Linked DNA regions of Struthio camelus. The protein of the gene in region 2 interacts with the protein of the main gene of each other region in a pairwise test. Links are inferred from orthologs where the notes say so. Each region holds a gene or a part of one and is shown on either strand. Other genes may lie near its edges.

Region 1 (7,751 bases), on a different chromosome or scaffold from region 2:
TCTTATATAATAATGATCACTGTCTCTGCTTCTTGATCTTCTTCTGCCATGGCCTTTGCTACGGGATCGTGATCTGCTTACTTCTCTGGATATAGTGCTCTCACGACTTAGAGAGTCTCTCTGGCTTTTTCGAGAGATGCTTGAGTCACGGGTTCTTGACCTCCTCTTGTTTCTTTTGCTCCTATGTTTGCTACTCTCTCTGCTTCCTGATTGTTTCCTTTTAGGCTGGTCTTTGCTACGATGCTCCCTCCTAGTCCTGTGGCCATGACTGCCTCTGCTGCGCTGTGAATAGGACTGTGGACTTTTGGACTTTCTCTTTCTGGACAGTCTGTGATTACAAGGAGAGCACATCCTGTCCCTTCCTGAAGAGGGGCTCCAGATCAATTCCTGTGGAGATAAATTTTTTATTTTACTTTTGTCCTCATCCTCTTTTGACTCCATCTTCTCGGCTGCAGGGGATGAGCAGCTTTTACAGCTACCTAGGTTCTCGTTATACATAGGAGAGTGTGGTGAGGAACTCGGGCTTTGTTCACTGTCACTGCAACTGTGAAACTGGATTGGCTGCTGTTTCTTGATATTTTCCCTTTTCTCTTCCTTGACTGATTCCTCAGAGTCCGAAGACAACTCAACCAGTTCTGGTGTCCTCTCAGCTATAGGCTTAACATACCCAACAATAACACAATTGTCTGAAGAAGAGTCACTGTCATTGGAACCAGCATTAGCCTGTATCTGGGTTTGCACTGCAGTTCTCTTTGTTGCAGAGTCCTCATCAGAACTTTCTGAAGTCTCCAAAGGAGAAGCTATGGTTGCATGAACCTCTTCTGAGATGGAATATGAGGGCCCTGGAGTTTCATCATCCCACGGAGCTTGATCAATACCAGTCACGGATGAACTGTGATCTGGACCTTGAGAATCTGCTTCATCCGGAGATATTGTAATAATTGATGAGTCTGAGTGGCTTCCTTCATCGTACGATGGAGCAGGACAGTCATAATTGGCATGCTGATCATACGCCTCTAAATTAAAAGGACACCGGGCAAAACTGACAAATTCATGTAGGAAATGTTCAGTCCGATTCAGCAAAAACGGCTTTAAATCATCAGCAAAGGCCTGGCTTTCCAGATCATACCTTGTCACATTACTCATGATGATATGCTGTACAATATTAACTAAAGATCCGTGGGCACCAAATAGGACTGTAAGTTCCCGCTTCAACCAGGGAACCAACCTGTGAAGGCAAGCAGGGTTCCGGCGAAAAAACTCTGCTGAAATATCTCGATAGCGGCCACCATCCTGAATACTACGAACACGCACACCAGTGCGATACAGAGCTCTGCGGAAGTTGATCATGTCCTCCTCCTGAATCTGCCGCAGAGATCTGCCTTCTGCACTAGCCTGCCTCCTTGAGGCGAGCCTCCTTATCATCTGCTGAATCTCTCCATCTCTCTGCCGCACTGGTTGGCTTGATAACCCTTCAAACAATATTCCATTATCTGGAGGGGACAGCGTCCTTCGGGAAGAGGAAGTGTGTCGATGGTAAGATGAGGTGCGACGTTCCCTTGTCAACGTAGTACGATAACGAAATCTCCGGCCATCAGGACTGGCAAAAGAGCCATTTTCTGATGGTCGGAGTATGTACTCTTTAAAGTCATCCTCAGCACGAACTGTATGGAAAATAGAATGAAAAGGTTGTTTGCAGAGTGGGCATTCTGCTTTGTTTTTTGACCACTCCTGGACACAACGGAAACAAAACTTATGCAAGCAACGATCTAGATACGCAACATTGTCGAATCTATCCAAACAGATCGGGCATTTAGAGTCAGGAGATGCATCTGTTGGCACTGTCTGATGCAGCTTGCTTGTGCTAGCTTTCGGTGAAAAGTTGCTATCCACTGCAAACTCTGCTGAAGTCATGTTCTACAAAAGACAAACACAAAAAGATCATTACCTTCCTGAGAGGAAAGGATGTGAATATCTAGACAAAGAAACCTCTGCTATCCTTCTTTTAGTTTGTAAAAAACATAAGGTCGATATGGTGTCAAACAAAAAACCACAATGATATAACTACTTTTTCTGGCCTCTCCTCAGGCTACTGCTTCCCTCAAGAAGTTAGATGTCACGGTTAAATTTTTTCCCAAGATAGAGAGAAGAAGGCATGACCCTGAAAATTGACCAGGCTTAGGAACTGCAGTTCTAGAAATCCTGCTCTGCCCATTGAAGAAAACTAAGCTATCTTCCCTAGCAAGAGCACAACTGTCCTCTCTGTTTTTCAGTGGAAGTTCTCATTTGCACCACCACCTCTTTTAGAGGAAGGCAGAAGCCTGTGCTACCAGGTATTCAGCGCTCCTAAAATAGCTATTAACTTATGGAGGTGGACATACCAGAAACCTCAGCAACTGATCAGTACTGGCCCCCAAAACACTGATATTCTTCCCATTCTTAGACATTCAGTCCTGACACTGGTGTTTGTTCTTCTCATTTAGAAAGGCCCACTGTTTTGCTTTTCAACTCTACATTCTTCTTTTACTAATGACACCTTTTCCCCACTGTACTGTTTTGCTCTTTCTTTGCTGCAGACTCTGTCTACAAAGCTCTTCAGGGATGAAGCACATGGGTAACTGACTGGCACTGTATCTTTGGGGCAGTTCTCCTGGCAGTCAGCGCTGGAGTATTCTATTCTGCTGGAAGGTCTCTACAGAGTAAGATGCATCAAAAATGAACAGGAAAAGCAACAGACACACTTAGTAAGATTTATGGTTGGTAGGTAGAAGTAGACAGTCAGATAAAGCAGCCCCCGAAATACATACAAAAGATCACTAGCAGCATGCCTGCACTAAGTTCTTTAGTCTGTACTGTTACAGCAAATTATGATTTTTGTGGAAACCATGAAGATATTCTTGCCAATTGAAACTAATACATGAATTGCTGCGATTTAACTCATGCACATATCAACAGATAATTTTTAAAATACGGAAGCAATTCCAGGCCTCCCTCCCTCTGCCACCACAACCAGAATCTAAAGCGCTGCAAGTTTTTACTGGGACTTGAAACATGCCGGCATTTCCGAAGACTCCAGGCAGGACTCCCTCTCCCTCCCTCCTCACACTTCAGCGACGGTTTCCTCATTCTTTCCCAACAACGTTCTCATTAACAAGGGATCCCGCGGCACACCTGTCCCAAAGAGACGGATTCGCACCTCCCCGCCTCCCCCCGCCGACCGCAGCGCCCCGCGCGCCAACCCCCGGTCCGGTCCGGCCCGGCCCGGCCCGGCCGCACTCACCGCCGCCGGGGCCTCCTCGGCCGCCCGCCGCCGCGGGCCCCGGGCCGCAGCCGCGGCCGCCGCATTCAGCCGCTGGCGCCGCGGGCAGTGGCCGGCAGCCTCCCGGCGCGGGTCCCCCGCGGGGTGGCGGCGGCGGCCGCTCTCGCCCAGGCGGCGCCGCGGCTCGGACATGGGCGGCGGCGGCGGCGGCGGCGGCAGCGCGTTGCCCCGGGGACCCCGCCGCCAGCGAGGCAGCGCCGGGCGCTGCGCAGCCCCGGGCCGGAAGACGGGCGCCGCCGCGGCAGCGTCACTTCCGGCGCGCGGGGGCCGCCGGCGCCGACATCTTGTCGGCGGGCGGGAGCGGCGGGGGCCGGGCCGGGCCGGGGCTCCCGCTTGGCGTCGCTTGCCAGCGGCCGGGATCAGGGACTGGGCGTCTTCGCGCCCCCGCTGCCCGGCGGGACGCGGCGGAGCGAGGCCGCTTGGTGCAGCAGCTGTCTGCGCCGCGCCTGAGCGCCGGGGCCGCGCGGGCAGCAGCAGGACCGGCCGCGCTGGGCCGCCGCGGCAGAGGCCGAGAGAGGCCCCTTAGGCTGCCTCGGCCCCGAGGAGGCGGCTGCGGGGGGTTCCAGCGCCGTGCCTGCCCGCTGGAGACACGCGCGAGGGGTCTTCGGGGTCTGCACGGCCTTTGCGGCCTGGCCAAACACGGGCAGCTGTCGTTGGCCGGCGTACGGCGGCACCCGTCTTCCCTTTGCTGCGTTTGCCAGCGTTCCCTTCCTGGCGGGCGGCTGCTCCCTTTCCCCAAACTGTCCCTCTGTCTGTGTGTGCAGAGGACGACTGGCCAGAGAGCAGCCCGCTGGTGCGCAGGGAATGCTGCCTCTGCTGTGCTAATTCGCGGCCTCTCCTCCTACAGCTGTCCCGCGAGGTGGTGACGCACAGGCTGTTGGCCGAGCAGCAAGAAGAGCTCAGGAGGTGTTGGCGTGGCACCAAGCGTGCCGAGCTCGTGGCCTGTGCTGAAGCCAGTACAAACTGCACCTGAAGGCCAAAGCCAAGAGAGTGTTTTCTAGGACTGAGCAGGGACGAGGAGCGTGCGGGAGCACGGAGGGGAGCAGTAAGGGCTGTCACTTAGAGGACTGTTCTACAGCCGCAGGAGGAATTTGACTGGAGGGTTAGGCTGTGCTGCATTCCTGAGAGGGCTGCGACGTCTGTTGTGTCCGGGTCGGAAGAAAGAGGATGGAGAGTCTTCTGTCAACCAGCTTTATTGCTAGCTGGGATGTGAGCAGATCCTGCATCGCTTTGCTGAAGGAGGAAATGAAGGTTTCATCCGCAGCGATGCCCCCCAGGTTCTTCCTTCAGAAGTGGCTGGAGCGATTCCTCTGGTCTCTGAAGTGCCTTGGCCCAGGTGCAGTCGGACAAAGCGTGGCCAGTGTCCTCTCGTGTACACAGCTGGCACCAGCAGTGCCAGGTTTCCACCAGCACTTCAGCTTCCCTGAGTGTCGAGCACAAGCAGCAGAGCACGAACCACAGGGGAAAGCTTCAGCTGCCGCGGAGCGCAGGCGCTGGCGCTGGCGCGCTCTGTGCGCACTTCTGCGGAGGGAGAAGCCTCTGCCTTGGCTGCGGGGGCGGCGAAGGGAAGCGACCGCCCGTGCTCTTGCTTTGGGAGAGCTGCCTAGCAGTGCCGAGCACCTCCTTGCAGAGGTGCTCCGCTCCCCGCACCCCGCACAAACGTGCTCCTTTCCTCCCCAAGTCCGGCCCCTCTTCTGGCTGTAGTTTGCGCAGCTGGAGGAGCTGGGCAAGGCTTGCTGGGAATCGCGGGGAATTTGACTGCACGGGAGAGTGTGGCGCTTTGTGAGAGGGGGCGGCCGATACACAGAGCTGCCTTTACGGTGGTGCCGCCATCAGCGTGGTGCTGGCGAGGCTGCCGTTAGGGCACAGCTGCCGTTGACACTAGGGTTGCTGTTAGGTGGGGCTGCTGTTACCCCGGGTCTGCCGAGACCCTGGGGCTGCCGTTATCCCGGCTTTTCTGTCTTCCCCTGCCCTGCTGCTCTCCCAGGCTGCTGTGTAAAACTATGGGCCGTGCTGTTTCCCCGGACCATGGGGTGGCCCCTGCCTGCCCTTCCCCACCTTGCTCTTACCCTGGGTCCTTGCTGTGTACCCCGGTCCTGTCGCTACCACGGCCTCTGCCAGCACCCCGGGCCGGGCCGGGCCGGGCCGGGCCGGGCCGGGCCGGGCCGGGGAGCTGCCTTGGGGCTGCCCTTCCCCCAGGGCTCCTGTGCTGCTGGACGCTGCCATTAGCCTGGGCCTGCCTGTTCTTGTGTTCATGTCTTTAATTCTTATTGAGGAGGGGTCGCAGGCTGTCTCTGGGTTCCTGAGATGAGGTCTGGCTTGCCACCTTCCCGTGCACCTGCACTCGATAAATGCAGGTGTACTCCGGGTTCCCCCAGTTGCTCTGGACAAAAAGCTTTATATATTGAAAGGCTCTGGACAGCTCCTCCTGCAGAGACGTCGTGGGAAGAAGAAACGTGGTTAGTGGGGTGCAAAGAGGGACAGTACACCGCAGGGCCCTCCCTCTGCCAGCCCTGGCCCTGTTAAGGGCCAAGCTGTGGCCCTGGTTGAGGTGGACAGCTTGTCTCTCCCTCTTCCCCTCTGCAGCGAGGGCTGCAAAGGACGGCTCTGGGCGTGTGCGTGGCCTCCGAGAGTGGGTGAAAGCAGCTGTGGCCGTGTGAGGCGGGCTGCCAGCAGGACTGCCAGGAACACAGGGAAAGTCCTGCTGCGGAGGGAAGGCGCCTGCGTCCTGCCTGCCACCGCCTGCCCTGGCTGGGCTCGGTCCCCGTTGCTGCTGCCCCTTCCCGCTGCTGCTTCCTGTGTGCTAGCAGAGAGGCTGGTGCGGGGCTGCCGCACGTGGGGCAGCTGGGTGATCAACCCCTCCAAACAGCCGGTTCCTCCTCGGCTGGCCTTCCCGGCAGGAGCGAGAGCCCAGGGAAGCCGTCCACCCTGCTGCCAGGTGCTGCCGCAGCTCGATGGAGCTGCCGTCTGGCTTTCGCTGCCCGATGTCTGTCTTTCCGTCCGGCACGCAGGCTTCGTGCTGATGGAAAGGCCCCGCGTGCAACCAGCTTTGCTGAAAGCCACAGGTGCAGCCTGGGAGCTCCAGGGTCCTGCACTCCCATGGGCGCGACCCTGCCCTCGCTCTTGTTTTGCTGCCACCGCTGCGCACTGCTTGGTGCGCCTTCAGACCCCGCTGTGCCTCGGCTGTGGGTCTGGCCCCTCTGCCCCCCGGGGAGGAACTGTGGATGCTCTTTCTGCCACGGACGTGCGGGCACAGCCACGTTCCTGCCTGGTCTCTGCCCACACGCACTTACTGTACCTTCAGGGGGAAGGTCTGAAGGGCCTCTTTTCCCACGTCGTAGGTGAATGTCCCAAGGAGAGTTTCTTCTTCTCCCTCCTCGTCCACTCCCTGAGAGACAAAGCACAAGGGTCAGGCTCCGCCTGAGGACGGGGAAACGCACGCGCTGGATCCGGACCTGTTACCCGCCGGCCCTCTCCCGTGGCTCGAGCGGTAGTGTAGTACAGGTTATGGTGTGAAGCTGAGACTCCTCCGTGAGGGGGGTTGACTGCCCTGAGATGCACGGCCAAAAAGCACCGAGCAGGTCTTGAGAAAAGCACCCCGTCCCTTGAAATATTCTCTTGGGGCAGTGCTTACGAGAGAGCAAGGCCCAAACCCCAGCGGATGCCCCAAGACAAGCGAGTGCCTGCTCTGCCTTTTCCCCACGGCCTCATTGCAGCCCAGCAGAGACTTACAGAGACAGTGAAATCCCGGGGGGCACTGCTGACGGTCCCAGATGGAGAGACTGCCTTGTAGATGTGCTGCACGGTGATGGCGGTTGGTTGTATCCGTGCAGGCAGCCAAATGACCACCTGGCCCTGCGACCCTTGGAAAGGCCAGCACTGTCCCGGGGAAACGTCCGGCTGAAAGCAGAGTGCCACAGCAGTGAATGGTGAGGGAGCGAGGCAGGCCACCTCCGCCACCTCCCAGCCCCTCTGAAAAGGGCCTGTCGGAGGTGAGGTAGGCAAATGGGCCTCGAAGGAGAAACTCCCTCAGCCAGCTATGACCAGGGATTGTGGGCAGGATGCGGCCACTCAGTTCCGTTCGGTTGAGTCCTGCTCCTGAGGGAGACTAGCAAGTCAACCCTCTGGTGTCAGGAACCTGATCACCGCCAGGCCCTTGAGCAACCCTGCTGGCCAGAGGGGAGATCCCCTGGGCTTTGTCACCCACTGCCCAGGAAGGAACTGAAGCAGCATGGATGACTTCTGCTACAATACCTGCAAAATAGTATCTGGAGGGTTTGGAGAGTAGAAGCACCAAAAAGCCCTGCAGAGCCAACTCTCTTCCCACGCATAGCTGCTGGATGTTCTCTGCAGATCGATGGTGGCACCTGAAGGGGAGACGGAGCTGCTGACTGCAAGACCCCACAGACGTGGTGCTTGCAGGGCATTTCCA
Region 2 (8,202 bases):
CTTAGAAATATGACTAAAACTTTTCAAAAATCATATTTCCTCCATTTTAAATTCATAAATCTGCTTTTAATGACATTTTTTCAATATACTGCAATCTATTTTGTTAATAAATAGAGGAATCTGCTTGGCTTTTTCTCCAAATACAGCTGGAAACCTTAAGAAGGACTTCAAATTTATCTATGACACTCAGATTAAAAAACAGGTGACAATAGAAGTACTTCTAAAAATTGAGTAGCTGACACAATATTTGATTGTTAAAACATTTGTTTTTTCAAGAACGCCAAAATACCCCAGCTTCATTTTCTAAACTGCAGTCGCACGCTTCTAAACCCCTCTCCACCCAAAACCAGAAATGCAGCGTAAGTTGGTGCGCGTTCAAGACTTTCCTACCCTCCAGATGCTGTTGCGACGAAGGGGTGAGTGTGCCCACGTTCCCCGGAGGATTTGGCGTTCGGGCACCCGTCGGATGCTTACGGGGCAGCGGATGGCACCATTTGGGAGTCCCAAAAGAGCTGCAGCAATCAAGGCAGGTGCCGCCCGGCTGACCTCTGGGGCCTACGCTGCAGAGCCCAATGGGACCCTCCTCAAATGCAGATTTGGGCTGCTGAGATAGATCCTCTCTGTTTCTCTCTCGCGCAAAACAGCATGTGCCATTAGTGAGCCACAGACCGACTTTTATCTGCTTTATAGCTTTCTCAGGGGTACGGAGCAGGTTAGGATTTATGCATATCGCTAAAATAACAGGAGTCCAGAAACAGAAACTGTGATAGTTACTTTCCTATTTAAAGCATCAACAAGAAAGAGTCTAAAAAGGAAACTGCTACTTTTTTAAAGTGTACGCACAAAAAGCATTCCATTTAAATATTTTTTGTTCCAGTAAACTCTTTTGCATACAAAGGACTTATTTATTACATATTTGAACTTGTGGGAAAAAGAGAAGGAATGCACTGATTCCTGAAATAACTCTACAGGCTTTTTGGAAACTTTACTCTTGTTCTTGTTCTACTCAGAATAGTCTTATTCCAGGGAAGGAGGAATTCCTTGGAGCCAGTTGTTTCTTTTCCACTAGCTGTTTGTATTCAAGAGTGGGCATATATAGCATATTAACCAACGATTTTAATTTTTCTTCTATTGCCTTATAATGTGTGTGTGCTATCTGTTCAGATGCACACTTACACTTGCACACGTTACCTCTTCTGCTTGCTCTTTTTGTTACCTACTCTACGTGATTACACATTTCTGCACAAATCATTACTTCGACTTGAAAAGCAAGGTAATACCAACAACAATCTGAAATGGAAAATGAAATGGAAAATGAGCGTATGCGTAAATGTATTAAAAAGCATATAGGAACACGGGATTGAAAAGAGCACTCTAAAATTCTACAAACAGTGCTGCAGAGTAATGAGATGATACAAATTACAGAGAACATCCTACATTCATGCCTTTACACTCTATGCTTACTGTTGCAAGTTGTTTTTTGAATAGTGCGCCTGATTTGACACATTTCTATCTAGTGAGTGTGTTAAATGCTTGAAGAGATAGTGAAATATCCAAGCATTCCTTGTGCTAACTAAAGTTGAAATTTTACACTTATTGTAACCTTTTCTAACAATGTGAGAAAAACAGAGTAAATATATTAAATTTGTTTCACAACAGATGCTTAGGTTGTTAATATTTAAGATGCCTATTCATGCTATTCCTGTCTGCACATTTGTCAAAAATGTAAGCTTGAATGCTAATGTTTGCCAGCAGACTACAGCAGACAAATATATGAATGTACTATACCAAAATAATATAAAGTAGAAATAAGGGACGGCTGCTAACTCACACCCAAGAAGCAGGGACTGCAAGGAAAGGGTCCTGCTAGATCATACGCCTTAGAGTCTGTGAATCTGAATTTGTGAGTTATTTTCACGGAAGCACCGCACTCCGTTGGAGCGAACAAAAACCGATGGCGAGCTTTCGTCATTTTAAACGCATTTCAGCTTAGGAGCTGGTGCGAAGTGTTTCAGCGAACTTGCGTTTTAGCGAAGTTTCTCCAGCAGGCAGCGAAGCCTGGAGCCTGGCAAAGGAAAACTTAAAACCGGGCAGGTGCCGCCTGTCAGGAGCGCTCCGCCCGGGCAGCGGCCGGAGACGCCGGCAAAAGGACGGCGACGGGGGCACAACCTCGGGCGGCGGTTTTGCCGGCGGAGCGGAAAAAATCAGAATAAAAGCGCGGAGCACGGACGGGGTTGTGGGGGAGGCGCTGGGGCTGCTGCGGCCCCCCGCACCTCCGCACCGCACCGCGCCGCGCCGCGGGGGAGCGCGCAGCTCCGCGCTGGCGCCCGGCGGCCTCGCCGCGCCCGCGGCCCACGACGGCTCCCTCCCCCCCTCCCGCCTTCCTCGCCCCGCGCTCTCCCGGGCGCCGCCGGCCGCGGTGCCCCGCGTCGGGGAGGCGCGCGGGGCCGCGCGAGAAGTTTGCCAAACTTTTCGGACGGCTCGTGGTTTTTTTTTTTTTTTTGTCCTCCCTCTCGCCCCCGCGGGGCGGCGGCGGCAGGTGCGCGGCCGGGCGGCGGGCGGGCAGCGGCGCCCCGTCGCGGAGCCTCCCCGCCGTCCCCCGCGCTGCCGGCGCCGGCCCTGCGCGCCCGCGCCCGCCTCCGCGGCTTGTGCCCCCCGCGCTGCGCTGCCCCGTCTGCCCCCCCCCATTCCCCCCCCACCTCCTTCCCTCCCTCCCCCCAGAGAGGCCGAGGAGCGGGGAGCGACTCACGCATGGGAGCGCGGCGGGCGAGGCCGGCGACACCTCCGGCTTCCGAGGCGCCGGCGAAGTTAATTGCACTGAAGTTCAAGTTGTCTGTTCACCCATCGGGAGTGGGCGTTTAAAGGAAGGAGAGCGAGGAGGAGGAGGGGGAGGGGGGAAGGGGGAGAGTCTCTCTCTCTCTCTCTCTCTCTCTCTCTCTCTCTCTCTCTCTGTGTCTCTCTCTGTGTCTCTCTCTCGCGCACACACACACACACACACGCACACACACGCACACGCACACGCGCGCACGCACACGCGCGCCTGCCCGCTCGGCTCCCCTCCCGAGCTGCCTGAGCGAGGAGGAGCCCGGACGGAAAACACCAGGGCAGCAGGTACCGGCGTGGGGCAGCTCTGCCTGCGCGCGCGTGTGCGTGTGTGCGCGCTCCCCTCCCGGCCGCCGCGCACGGCGCCCTCGGGCGGGGTGCGGTGCCCCCGGGGGAGGGGGCGGCGGTGCCGTCGGGGCAGCGCGGGCGCGGGGAGCCTGGGTTGGGGCGGGGGGGGGGGGCTGCGCGCCGCCCTGCGCGGCAGCGGAGTGGGGGGCGAGCCGCGTTTTTGTGTGTGTGTGTGTGGTGCCTCCTCCTCTCTGCTCGCTGACTCGGTGGGAGTGCGAGAGGTGGGGGGTGTGTGTGTGTGTGTGTGTCCCCGCCGCCCCCTCCGCCGCGCAGGGAGCCAGGTAGGACACACACACACACACACACACACACACACAGAGCAGCGAGAAAGGTCGGAGCCCCCCGCGGAGCACCGCGGCCCCACCGCTTTCCCTTCCCTCCTTCCTCCCTCCGCTGCTTCATTCCCGCCCGCGGCTGCCCCCGCGGGAAGGCCGCGCCGGCGGGGCCGTTTCGGGCCGGGATGGCACCGCGCTGCTGCGGCGAGCGGCGGCGGCGCAGGACCGGCTCTGACGGCGCGCAGCTCCGCGGCCGCGCAGGCGGCGGGGGGCTGCGGGGCGAGGGCCGGCAGCCTGCGGAGGGGCCGCGCCGCGGTGGTGGCGACCCGCCCGAGCCGGGCGGCAGCGGGGCCGCGCCGTCGGGGCCGGCAGCGGCAGCGGGGCCGGGTGCCGCCGCGCTTCACCCGCGGTTCCCTCGCCTGATGTTTCACCTGGCACGACGTGCTCCACAGTACCGCTGTTTCGGAATTCTCTTTTTTTTTTTTCCGTTTAATTTCTCCTTGGGGAGGGACTTTTTCCTCTGTTCTTTTGTTTTTAAGACCTTCCTTCCCTTCTTCGCTGATGCACAGTTTGGAAGTGGAGTTCCTGGAGAGTGAACCTGGCAGTGAGGGCAGGTTTCCCTGAAAGCTGAGGCTGTTTCTTATTCCCTAGGAGCCTGAGAAGAGAGGGGACCCTGGATGTCAGCCCGATCTCCTTTTTTATTTATTTTGACTTTGTGGCAGATTTCATCTTTCAGCTCTGGGAATTGACAAATGCAATTCATGTAGGCACCTTTACATGTCTTACAAACAAGACTGACACTGTGAAGTTGATACGTCAACACTTTTCCTAGTAAACCAGTGGTATGCTCTTCTATTAATTGGTATTAGAAAGTGCAGCCTTGTAACACAGTTATTGAATAATCATTAATCCACGGAGGATACACAAGCCCAAAGGTTAATAATGGTAATAACAATTAATAATATTGACTTTGCTGGCAGGAAGAATACTTTCTCATAGTTATTATGAGGCACTCCCATTTATAAATTTGGCCCCAATACATTGGCTACCAAGTTACTGCAGCAGCAGTAGAAGTTAATTTAGCCTGTTATCTCCATGTTATTTGGCCTCTATATTTTTCTCCCTTTAAAATGTATCATGCACTGGCTGATTTTAAATAGAAATGCCAAGCCTTTAATCAATTCTGACATTTCCACTAGAAAACAATACCTAGCTCTGTTACGCAGATAAAAATTTCTTTGCATGTAGTGTTTTGGACCTGTTCATTTCTTGGAGAGGGCTTAGCTTTTTACGATCTTTAGGTAGTATGGGATGCTAAAAAGAAAGTGCAATGGGAACTTTCACACTTTTACAAGTACAGCTAACCATTCCTTAGAGCTTCCTCCTCACTGACTGACTGGTTGTCACGTTTTCTGTAGTCAAAGACCCATCTCCTGTATTTGTATCACACTCTTCTGCCTGGTTGGTCATTGAATCCTAATAGTAATCATGTTTCATGTCTCAGAAATCCAATCATCAAGTTATTCAATCTTATAAATTGCAACTAAGCTATTTGGGTTAGTCATGTTATTCCCACTTTAGAGTCAGGGAAACTGAAACAGGAAAATTTAATACATTTTGACTGAGGCCACACATGGATTGAAGAGTAGATCCAGGACTGGAACTGAATTATGGATTTAGATCATGCTACCACTTAAAGACGCCAAAGTACACTACGGAAAATGCCTCTTTAAGAAAGAATTCTAATATAAACCTTTTTTTTCCCCAATGATTTTATGTATTAATGAAAATACAAATTTTTGAGGTCACATTTCCTTTTCTACATAAAATATTTATCCAGATTTTTAGAAAACGTAGTGATACCTTTGAACTTCACAGGCAGTTTACTTTGGAAAGAAGAAACTTAATATGAGATTGTGTGCAGTAATGGAATCAGAATTGCTTATTATTAGGTGATGGTAAACAATATTCACTGGATGTCATGGGGTAATTACAGGCCAACAAAATATACTGTGAAGTTCAGTATTAGTATAGATAAGGTGCTATTGCTTACCTAGTGTGCACTGGTTTTCACTCTAATGCTTCGACAGTGCTTTCAGTATGAAAATAATTAGCATAGGTCTAAACATTGGAAAACATTCAGGATAACTATATATTGTGTTTGAAAGTTATGATTTATATCATTAAGCAGTGTGTTTTATAAAGTTGTCATTCATGTCAATGAAGCAAGTATACTGCCTGCCCTTTAGTTGTGGCATGCCATCAAAGCTATATTATGGTATGACTGAGCACAGATGGCATGCCTAAAAAAGCAGGTGTACAATGTAACTTTCCTATTACTGACACGTTGAAATTTCCTCTTCCTCAATGTCCACCACAGATGTTTGCTTGCCCAGCCTTCTACAAGAACTGTAGAAAGTCGTACGCATCTGCTCATCCCTGAAGTCTGGAACTGTACAGCCAAAACTCTCTACAGAATATGTGTTCATATATTGTATTTATGCATGTATTTATGCTGACAGCTACATTTTATCACTGAGTTTTTTCAGAGTGCTGATTTGAGGAAAGTGGGTGCAGATCTCATTCAAGTAATCATCCTCCAATACCACTAGTGTTACCTGCCAAAAATGAAAGTGGCATATGAATCACAATAATCCACTCATTAATTTGTGGATTCAGAGCCTGCCAAGGAACATCAGAAATCCACGTGATGTCCCTGAGTTTTAGGGACTTTGAAAGATGTGTAAAAGTGCATTTATCCAAAGACTGTCTTATTGATGACTTATCTTACTGATAAGGGCTACTGACATAACCTAAAGACCACAAGAACTGAAAATATTTATGTCCAAATCTTTCCCTTCCAGGCGGAATAGTGAAAGTGGTGAATCTGCCAACTGTAGCTATGTCGGAGGCCCTTCCTGAGGTGCCTCTTCTTGAGTGCTACTGTGACCTAGTGACTTGGAGATACACTTTTACTTAAGAAGAGCTATCGGATCCTCTGTGAAATATCACAGATGCTTTCTGATTCTTTCAGATATGCATATATCTTTATGCTTACACCTGAGCAGAGAGGGGTGGGGAGGGGAGCAGAGCAGGGAGTAGAGTGGGGTTAAGAGCATCCACATAGATCCTGCAAACAAATAAATACATGTATATTTTCTTTATCTGATGTTACTTGGTGCTTGAAATGGAATGATCAATATTAAGAAGAAATACTTCATTATTGTGTGCATACTTGAGAGTTATGTTGGTTGATAGAGAAGGCCATTTTCTGCCTGTCATTACAGATATTCAACAGACCTGTAACTCTGATCTGTCTTACACAAACCACACATCTCTCAATGACAAAAACTCTCAGTAATGCTCAGATACTGATATCATTCCCAAGTATATGTACCTAATCAAGTATGGCTTATTTTCAGCTCCTAGTATATTGCTAATGCTACAGTAGTGAAAAACAGTATGCGCTACCTACCACTTCTTATGATTCCTTGCTTTCTTTATGATTTACTTTAAGCTAAGCACGCCAGAAACTGAAAATAACATTTGAGCCTTTTCTCCTCTGACATAGGAAAACAACTGCCTAATTTCTGTAATCTGTTCATATGTTAGTACTTCTGAAACAAAGCAAAAAGCCTGCTCGCTATGACAAGGTCTGCCCATAGCTGTCTCAGCAGCTTAATGAAATGTTAAGGCCTGGTTTAAGTAACTACGCTCCAAATGTTATTAGTGTTATCTGTTGTAGATGAAAATGGCAGTGAACAACACAACCACACAGGAGTGGCCCTATGTGTGTATTGTATATCAAGTAACCGTGATAAGCTTTTTCAAAACCTTATTTGATTTTTGATCTCGATGGTGGCTCAGTGGAAGAGACTCAAATGACTTTTTCTGAACATGGCTGCAACTTTCACTGCGTCTCTGTAGTCACTTGACTATCTTTCTGAACATGTTGGTTAGCATTGTCCTCCTCTGCTTAGGTCTAAGCTACCTCACTATCTGAATGTCTTTCCTGAAAATTCATTCACTGAAAGGGGAATCATATGGATAATAGCAAATTCATCTGACCTTTTCCAGACTGACTTGATTTTCCTCCACTCCTTCACTGAGTGTTCATGTTTTCAGGCCCAGGACCTCAGTCCATTCAGCTTCTCTCTGAGGTGATAACTACTAGAGATGCTCCACATCTTCCTACAGAAGATCTTATTACCTAAATAAGTAAACTGCATCCTGTAGATACCTTCGTAAAACTTCTGCTTTACAGAAGAGAGAATGAACTTGTTACAGATGCATGAGTGACATCAAACGTGCTTCTGTTTTGCCTGATTGCCCTCTCAGCCTTCTGACAATCTGAAACTTTCATTTTGGAAGGGACTGAAGGAGTTGTGTTAATATTTGTATTTGTGTAACCACTTTTCCTGTACATTATCTGCCCTTCTCTGCTCTTCCCCTTTGGTGTCTGGTTTGTCTTGGCTGCTTTTTAAAGTTCTGTTGCCTCTAATGAGTGACTGTTAGATTAAACCAGTGAGGAGAAACCAGGTGACTGTCTCTACTTTTACAAATACAGGTTATGTATAATAAATTCAGATTTTACATCTATGCAAATTAAATCATCATATGATTCTGACTGCATGCATTTTTTATCAAATATGGCATATATTTCACAGGTTATATTTAACTTATACACATGTTGCTATTCTGAATACCTAACTAGAGGTTACAAGGTGTGCCACTAGATCTTAGTAACTAGGCTTAT

What was found.
Region 1: the proteins of SATB1 (region 2) and TOPORS interact in a two-hybrid assay, tested with the Homo sapiens proteins (2 studies listed by BioGRID and IntAct). The link is inferred for Struthio camelus from reciprocal best matches to the Homo sapiens genes SATB1 and TOPORS.

Annotation. Positions count from the first base shown.
Region 1 is NC_090982.1:18,068,900-18,076,650, reverse strand, and holds the start of TOPORS (E3 ubiquitin-protein ligase Topors), read right to left. Parts: upstream 3,383-7,751; 5' UTR 3,281-3,382; intron 1,918-3,280; 5' UTR 1,915-1,917; coding exon 1-1,914. Other genes in the region: sperm-associated antigen 4 protein-like, read right to left, coding at 5,580-5,747, 6,618-6,707, 7,052-7,219, 7,574-7,686. UniProt on the Homo sapiens protein: Functions as an E3 ubiquitin-protein ligase and as an E3 SUMO1-protein ligase. Probable tumor suppressor involved in cell growth, cell proliferation and apoptosis that regulates p53/TP53 stability through ubiquitin-dependent degradation.
Region 2 is NC_090943.1:42,031,957-42,040,158, forward strand, and holds the start of SATB1 (DNA-binding protein SATB1), read right to left. Parts: upstream 3,138-8,202; 5' UTR 2,754-3,137; coding exon of another isoform or gene 2,750-2,753; intron 622-2,749; exon of another isoform or gene 391-621; intron 1-390. UniProt on the Homo sapiens protein: Crucial silencing factor contributing to the initiation of X inactivation mediated by Xist RNA that occurs during embryogenesis and in lymphoma.